Linked DNA regions of Ovis aries. The protein of the gene in region 2 binds, or shares a complex with, the protein of the main gene of each other region. Links are inferred from orthologs where the notes say so. Each region holds a gene or a part of one and is shown on either strand. Other genes may lie near its edges.

Region 1 (4,050 bases), on a different chromosome or scaffold from region 2:
CAATAGTAAAATGGGCAAAAACAAAATCAACAAACAATTCACAGAAGAAAAAGAAATGGCCAGATTTTGTGACTTCTAATAATAACAATGGCAGCGATAACAGCTAATACAATGTGCTTACAGGCATCAAGTGCTTGGCTAAATGCTTTAGATATCAACTAATTTAATGCTCACAATAACTCTAGGAGATAAGATACTATTTTTATCCTTTTTTAACTGCTAAGGAAATTGTAACAGCAGTTAAAAGAAGCTCCTCAGGGACACACAACCTGAGCTGGAATTCCACTGCAGATAGTAAAGCTCTCAAGCCAGCGTATCTCTTAAACACTATGCTGTTACCTCTCCAGAGATAGCAGTATCTGGGAAACACAAGTTAAAACAAGATGTCATCTACTGTTAAAACTGACAAAAAGAAAAAGACCAACACAGTAAATGTGGAAAATAAGTACTATCAACATTGTTGGCAGGAGAATAAAATGGTGATTTCTTTTTGTAGAAATGACTCTTCTTACAGAAAAAGATACTTGGAACAATTTATACAATAAAAGGTGGATAACAGGTATTTTCTTATTAAAATATTAATTTTATTTTTCCCTGAAGGTAGTAACAAATCCTAGAACTCTTTTCTTTTCTCTTTTAATTCTCGGATGTGAATAAAAGCTACCAGAGGAGGATATTCTGTTGTCTCCACGCTAAATTTTCTTGGTGGCTGCTCCCCATGTGATTTAATCAGCCCCGGTCAAATTTTCCCTGAAAGCCTGTTTCGTGATGCACTAAACAACACAGGTTCTACTTTCTATTCTTTCCCATATTTGTCCTTTGCCTCTTTCTCAAGAGCCAAAGTTTCTCTTGAACAACATTCAAGAACCAAGACTGAAGGTGAGTAGCTCAAACTTTCCCTTTTTGGTTTGAAAGACCCGTTCTTATTTTCAGCAACATGTTAACTCCAATCAGATAAAAACATGGCTTCTGAAATCTCTCAATTCTTTATAGTCTTCAGTTTACTGTTTATAGCATAAATGTAAAGTAGCAATATAAATTACTTAAGGGAAAAATAAAATCCACGTCATAGCTTTTGTAACACTTCAGCCATTCCTATCTATAGGCACTATCAGGAAGAGAAACAGGGGAAGTACATGAAGCTATTAATATGTAAAAGAGGCTGTTAGGAAACTTCACTGCATGAAAGTATTTAAAGTTTATCATGAATGGCAGTAAGTTTAGGTAATATTGCCTTCCCTTAAAAAAAAAAGCATAGTAGGTCAGTTCCCCTTTGAAAAACTTAATTTGTACCTCCAAAACTTTCTGTTAAACTTTTTTGCTGCTGGGTTCTAAAACTTACTACCAACTTGGTTTCTGATTATGACAAGGCAATGAAAATCTGCAGGGGTGAAATGGACTCTGTGGAAACACAGTCAGCTCAGAGAACAGTGCTTGACTAAATCTCCAGGGGAGGAGCCCTACAGGGATGACTATATGTTCATTAAGAGACGAACTGAAGAATGTTCCATATTGTAAACATAGGATGTGAGAAGAGATTAAGGTCAGCAGGAAAATGTGAGATTGGAACGGAGAAGATTGCACTTTTTCCATCTGCATCAAATGGTCACAGATAAACACTCCATTCAAACACAGTTTCACTATGGTAAGAAGGTAGTATTTGCAGCACCACAACAGGCCCGAGGCAATGATTTCTACACCCTACTAAACCCTACAGTGTCCCCAACGTAATCAAACAATTGCTGGACAGTTCCAGCATGTCTACGCCTTAACCACACAAACTTGTGCGAGCAGACACACCCCTTCACCAGGAGTCCCAGTGCAAACCCAAAACGCCTCAAGGCATCTCACGCACACATCTAGGGTCCTCATTTCGCTAGAAAGACAACTGAGGAGCTGAGGGAGACTCAGCGACCGTCCAACGCCTCCAAGGGCCAAGACAGAGTTAAGGTGAGGTCCATCTCGGACTCCTCACTCCCAACCTTCCTCCGCTCCAGCCCTGGAAGGAGCCACAAGTGAGGAAGAGAAGTTGTGGAAACAAGAAGGGGAGTGGCGTCTGGGGTGGGGTTGGGGGGTGCGGAGTGGGATGCGAGAACCCCACTCGCATTGAGAGTTCAACACCAGCATCTGTATTTGTCCCACACAAGGTCACTCGCTCCAAGTCACTTTTCCCCCTGCTGCCCGGTGGGCTTCCCGCCAGAGGCTGCTGGGCTTCGAGGTCAGCCCACCGCGCCCCCTCGGCTCTCCCCTACGGGCCGCAGCCCCTTCCCGGCCTCCCTTCTCGGACCCAAGCGCGCCTCCCCGACTCCGGTTTCCGACGCCCGGAGCCTCTCCCAGCCCCATTCGGCGGCTCCTCTGCCTCTACCCACAGGTCTCCCATCAACGTCCCCTCCTTTCCTCCAGACGCCCCTTTCCCCGCCTCCCGCGCCGGGTCCCGCCGGGGGCCCCCGGACGCCGTTCCTGTTCCCCTTTCCCGCCACCCTCTCCTCGGGTGCCCACCTGGCGCGGCCCCCGCCCCCGGCCCGTCTCCTCAGCGAGCGGCCGCCTCCCGAGTCCTCCCGGCCCCGCCCCGCTCCCGGGCGGATACAGTTTGAAGCCCCTCAGGATCTCCCTGGCACGCTCGTCCTTGGCTGACATGATGCGGCGGCCGCCGCCTGCGGCTCTCTCACGCTGGCCTGGCGGAGCCTCGCAGACGGTGCCCAGGAACTGAGGACGGAGCCGCAGCCCGGCCTGAAGACCTCGGGAGAACAGCGGCAGCGGCCAGACCCAAACCGGCCTCTCCCTCCCCTCAGCTCCCGCTCCTTATCCCTTCTCCTTCCCTCTAGCCTCTGAGCGCCCGCCTTGAAGCCAATAGGAAGCCTGCCTCGGCGATTGGCATCTTGATCGACCAATAGAAACACTCAGCGGCTTCGCAGGGGGACGAAGAGCGTCAATGGGAAGGGCCCTCACGGGGAAGTCCCGTAGGACAAAATTTTCATTCGGCGTGGTTACCTAGAGTTTGTCCCAGAGGAGAGTTTGCTTCAGATTTGCAGAGGCTCTCCTGCGGCTGGGTACAGTAGGGCTTTGAGATGACAGCCCGTTGCCCTGTGCGATGTGGTGGAGACTACACTTCCCAGCATTCCAGGGGGCGCCCGGGGGGACCACAGATCCCAGCACGCAACAGAAAACCCAGGGACTACAAATCCCAGCATTCCCCGCACTCAGTTCCTCTAACTTCGATTCCAGTGTGCCGCGCAGTGTGCGCAAACCCCTAAATCTGCTTGTAGGCTTGGTGGTTTCTGAATCCCAGGGGTTGAAACCGGGCAGGAAGATCCTCTTCAGCCTCAAAAGATGACAGCCCACAGACAAGTAACTTCTATTTACATGGAACCCAGAAATCTCCTGCAAATCATGGTAAGGCTGAAACAACAAACACAAACACTGATTAAATCATGAAAAAGAATGTAACAGAATGACTCCTTCAAGCCGTACTTGTTTGTTGGCCTGGGGAGCCGGTTAGGTATTTCTCAGGGATTTCTGGTGTGCTCCTGCGGTGGACCAAGAGATGTAAAGGTTGTGTACTCAGACTATCAATGCAGTCAGAATTCAGAGGATTTGCTAATCTAACCTCTGTTATTTTACGTATGAAGAAACTGAGGCCCAGAGAGGCAGAGAGATTGTCGGGGTCACAGAAAGTTGGGGCAGAGTTAAAATTCAGCTCTAAGACTCCTGCAGTCTGGGCTTTTTGCACTACACTAGGGTAGTGATATTTTTAGCAACATGGCTATGCGATCTTCCTCTCCTTGGTGAAGTTTTCCTATCAAGGTTGAAACACCCAGAGGATACTGTGGACAAAAAAATGTTGCCTGACATTTCAGTAAACAACAAACGTTGCCCACCGTCAAGCCATCAGCCACTGAAGCCACCGCTGAAAATGGGCCCAGAGGAGGATTCAGGAGGGAGAAAAATAGGAACTTGCTCTAGATAATTAAGATGCATGTCTAGGGAATGATTTCAATGAGCCCAGACACTTGCATCTTCCCATGCATAGAAAACCACAGAAATCATTCT
Region 2 (4,002 bases):
AAATAACAGGAAAGGTGCTTCAGGACAAAAAAAAAGTTGTATAAATTATCTGAGAATTCTGTTTTTCTCACTGTTAAGTTTTTCCAGTGTTTTTAAAATAACTACAAAATTTGAACACCAAATAGTAAAACAGTCATTGCACTTCGTAGTTTCATCTGAAGGCAAACAAGAGTCATGTCCGGCTCTTTGCGACCCCATGGACTGTAGCCCATCAGGCCTCTCTGTCCATGGGATTCTTCAGGCAGAATCCTGGAGTGGGTTGCCATTTCCTTCTCCAGGGGATCTTCCTGACCCAGGGATTGAACCTGGGTCTCCCGCATTGCAGGCAGACACTTTAACCTCTGAGCCACCAGGGAAGCCCAAACTTTTAAAATAAACTCAGAATGACAAGTATTTTACAAATTAAACTGGCATACGATATTTAGTCAAGAGAATATTCTAAGAAAGATGCGGTTTCAGGCTTAGGCTTTTCCCACCTTCTTTTCCCACCAGTCAATATGACTCTACAGTTTAGCATCACAGTAACACAACCTAGGAATACAGGTACTCAGATTTCTCTACCCTAGCATCATTGGCAAGCAGACAGGTCAGTGAACTCGGAAGTCTGAGTTATTCTCTGAAGAGTGACTAGGATGTGGAATCAGGGAACTATCTCCGTTTCTGATGCTGGCAAAACAAAAAAGCCCACAAACTACAAAAAGTCCTGGTTCCTAACAAAGGTAAACAACTGTAAAATCAAATGCAAAGACTGGTAGTCATTGAACCTGTGCAAAACACATTTTAATCATCACCACATATGAAAATAAACACGGAGACAATGGAGCAGGCTTTAGCAACAGGAAGGCACAGGAAACAGGGACTGGACCTGCTCTGGGTGCCCCTGGAGGCTGATCCAGCACAGGAGCATCTCGGTGAGCAGTGGCTTAAAATAAACGTGAAGTGAAGGCAAACGGGGGACGTGTCACCTCTGGGTCTTCAAGAGGATGGGATTAGAAGGCAGGAAAGACAAAATTGGTTTCAACTGGACCTAAAGAACTTCTTTAACAAACAGTGATGAAATGGTAGACTAGATTACTGGCGACTGGAATCACCACCTCAAGAATCTCCAGGGGTAAATAAGCCAGAATGTTTGGGACATTCTCTTCAGTTGAAAGCAGGCAGCCCAGGTAATTCATGTCACCTGTAACTTGATTATTCAGACACTGGTACCTTTAACTATGGGCACTCTGAGGAGATAGAACTCATTCAAGAGACAGGATATGTCCGAGTCCCACTCTTCACAATGCAGAGGAGGAAAAGAGAGAGAACAGAGAAGCAAAGGCTCTGAGACACAGACTGTCAATAAAGGGGGGATGCAGTGGTTCCATATGTGCATTCGGGGCTGTTAGAGACTTGAAAAGCCTCCATCTGACGCCCGGAGACTTGACGGCTGCAGTTGTTAAGACTGTCACCTCTCCTCCCCCTCCCTCCACGATCATCGCATCTCACAGGAGTTACCCCCAGGGCTCCTGGCGCCCCTTATCTGTACACAAGAGTCTCTCACCCTCTCATTTTGATACCCCACCCCCCAGCACTTTGACAAAGAGAGGTAATAAAAGGATGAGTAAGCACGCCGCAGCTCATCTTGGTCAAAGAGCACAGACCCTGGCACCGACCGTGGAAAATGGGGGTGAAGAAGCAGAAAGGAAAGCGAAGTCGGGGAGTTCGGCCAATGAGCAGGCAGTTACCAGCTTTCCCAGGGCAGTTCGTGTCACCTCCTTCTGCAGTCACCACAGACTCCGAACCCCTGCCCTCGCCACCCCCACCCCACTGTGGTCAAGTGCGCCCTTTTCCTTGGACAGCTACTTCTTAAAAACAACACAGAAGAAGTAATTTTTCCAGACTTCCGGTTGTCAAAGACAATAAAAACCTCACCCTGAAGCATGGTTAAGTTCAACGGTTCTGTTTCCTCCCTCGTTTTCTGGCATCCCGTCCACCACCTCTCACCCCAGACCACCTCTGTTAGGGGTGGAAAAAGCGACTGCCACTCTCAGTTTCAAATATATGTCAACCTTTGGCGGGGTGCGGGGAGGGGTACTTTTGAATTACTTCGACATTCTGGTTACAAGTATCTGACCTTATTTTTTCCTCCCCAAAGGAAAAGACAGGACACCAAGTGGCCAGAAATTTCCCTTTTTCTGCCCTCCTACTTCGGTCGCTGGCAGCATCTTGGGAGGCTTCCGAAGCGGGAGGTTTCGGGGGGGTGGTGGTCTTTCGAGTTTCTTCCTAGGAAATTGGCCCTCAGCAGCCAACGTCCTCTGAGCTCCCGGGTTTGCTTTAAAATGTTCAAACTTCACAAGACAGAAAAATTACGGCTAAGGAGCCACGTCCTTTGTTGAAGCCCCACGGGTTTTAATTTGGGGTGGAAAAGGCCACCAGCAACAATCACGGACTGCTCCCCGCGGGGAGGGGGGACAGGTGCTACTCCGGGGCTGTGGAGGGCCCTGCGGCGGGCGGCGTGGCGGCCAACCCGGCCCGGCCCGACCCGAGCGCCCGTTCGCCCGCGGCCTCCCACACGCGTCCCCCGCGCTGCCCCGCGGGCCCCGCCGCGCCGCCGGCCTCCGCTCCAAGATGGAGGTGGCGGCGACGGCGGGCGGCCGGTTACGAAACGCGCGGCCGCCACATGGCCGCGCCGGCCCCAAACTTGGCCGGGCCCCGGGCGAGGCTCGGGGCCCGGGGAGCGAGGAGGCCGCGGCGCCCGCCACTCACCCACAGACCGGTAGCCCAGGATCGCGATCTTCCGGGACTTGGACTGCGGCATCTTGGCGGCCTCCTCAGCCCCGGGTCAACCACATCAACCGCGGCGGCGGCGGCTCCTGCGCTGCGATCGGCGGCGGCCGCGCCGGGGCACAGCGGCATCCAGGGGCGGGGCGGGGCGGGCGGGCGCGGCTGCCTCAGCTCCTCGCTCGCGCGCCCAACCGCCCGGAACCGCCGCGCGGCCCCGCCCCCAAACACGCCCACGTGACCGCGCGACGCCGCAGGCGGCTCGCGTCAGCACCGCCCTCCCGCGGCCGCGGCCCCTTCCCCCAAACGCACGGGGTGTGCGTCGGGAAGTGTTTTACTTTAAAGGGAAAAAGAGGGGACGCCGAGATGCCCCTGGAAAAGTCACGACTAAAACTCGCTGCGTCATGACCCGCCCACTGTCTTCCGCCGCTTTTTAATGACGCCAGCTCTCCCCGAGCGCTGATTGGACAGTTCCCATCCGCCCGCGCGCTGACGCGACGGAAACTCCTTCTCCCATTGGGGGGGCGGGCGGTGAAGAGGCGGGCCCGGAGGCGGGGGCTGCTTGGCCCGGCAGCTAAAAATAAACGCCGACTACAAACGCGCGGCTGGGCGCCGGTGAAGTTTGGAGGCTTAGAGCTTCTGAGGGGCTGGAGGCGGGTGGGAGGGGCGGAAAGAAGCTATCTCCCCAGGGATTGGTTAGATCGCGGGGAGGGGGCGGGGCGAAGCGTGGGAGGTGCGGTGATTGGTGGGCCGCTGAGCGGTCCTTGAACTCGCGCCCGCTGAGCCCTTAAAAGGCACGAGGCTGGTGGCGGGTGCCTTGCTGGGCTCTTGGTTGGCTGATATCTTCCTCGTGTGTGTTTTTTTGTTTTTGTTTTAAAATTGCTGCATTGGCTTTCGTGAGTCTAGGTTGGAGGATGTAGGTGATGACGAAGCATCAGCCATGGGTGGAGGACCATGGGAAGAATGGAGTATGCGTTCATTGAAAATGTGAACGTGTTTCATGAAAAAAGCGTTCTCCTCAGTTTTCATGCATCTCCTCAGTTCCGGTCTTAACGCTGGCGTTTGCGGATCCCAGACACCTCACGGGAAAGGAACAGCGCCGGGTCGACGCAGGTTTAACTGTCAACACCTGCATGGCTAATTGAGTAAGGCAGACTTAAAACACCCGCCGTTGTTGGCTGAGAACTCTCCAGAACCGTCCTTCCAGGGGGATTTAAGACCGGAGAGCCGGCGCTCAGG

Evidence for each region. The genes of interacting proteins can lie anywhere in the genome.
Region 1: the proteins of RHEB (region 2) and PDE6D are in contact, whole or in part, in a crystal structure (PDB 3T5G), measured with the Homo sapiens proteins. The link is inferred for Ovis aries from reciprocal best matches to the Homo sapiens genes RHEB and PDE6D. Residues at the interface, in NP_005605.1 of Homo sapiens: Pro2, Gln3, Ser4, Gln57, Asp77, Gln176, Gly177, Lys178, Ser179, Ser180, Cys181; in NP_002592.1 of Homo sapiens: Ile53, Leu54, Cys56, Val59, Val80, Gln85, Cys86, Leu87, Glu88, Glu89, Trp90, Ile109, Glu110, Ala111, Ala112, Pro113, Gln116, Met117, Met118, Leu123, Tyr149.

What each region holds. Positions count from the first base shown.
Region 1 is NC_056055.1:233,481,996-233,486,045, forward strand, and holds the start of PDE6D (retinal rod rhodopsin-sensitive cGMP 3',5'-cyclic phosphodiesterase subunit delta), read right to left. Parts: upstream 2,801-4,050; 5' UTR 2,638-2,800; coding exon 2,588-2,637; intron 1-2,587. UniProt on the Homo sapiens protein: Promotes the release of prenylated target proteins from cellular membranes. Modulates the activity of prenylated or palmitoylated Ras family members by regulating their subcellular location.
Region 2 is NC_056057.1:115,675,351-115,679,352, forward strand, and holds the start of RHEB (GTP-binding protein Rheb), read right to left. Parts: upstream 2,801-4,002; coding exon 2,749-2,800; intron 1-2,748. UniProt on the Homo sapiens protein: Small GTPase that acts as an allosteric activator of the canonical mTORC1 complex, an evolutionarily conserved central nutrient sensor that stimulates anabolic reactions and macromolecule biosynthesis to promote cellular biomass generation and growth.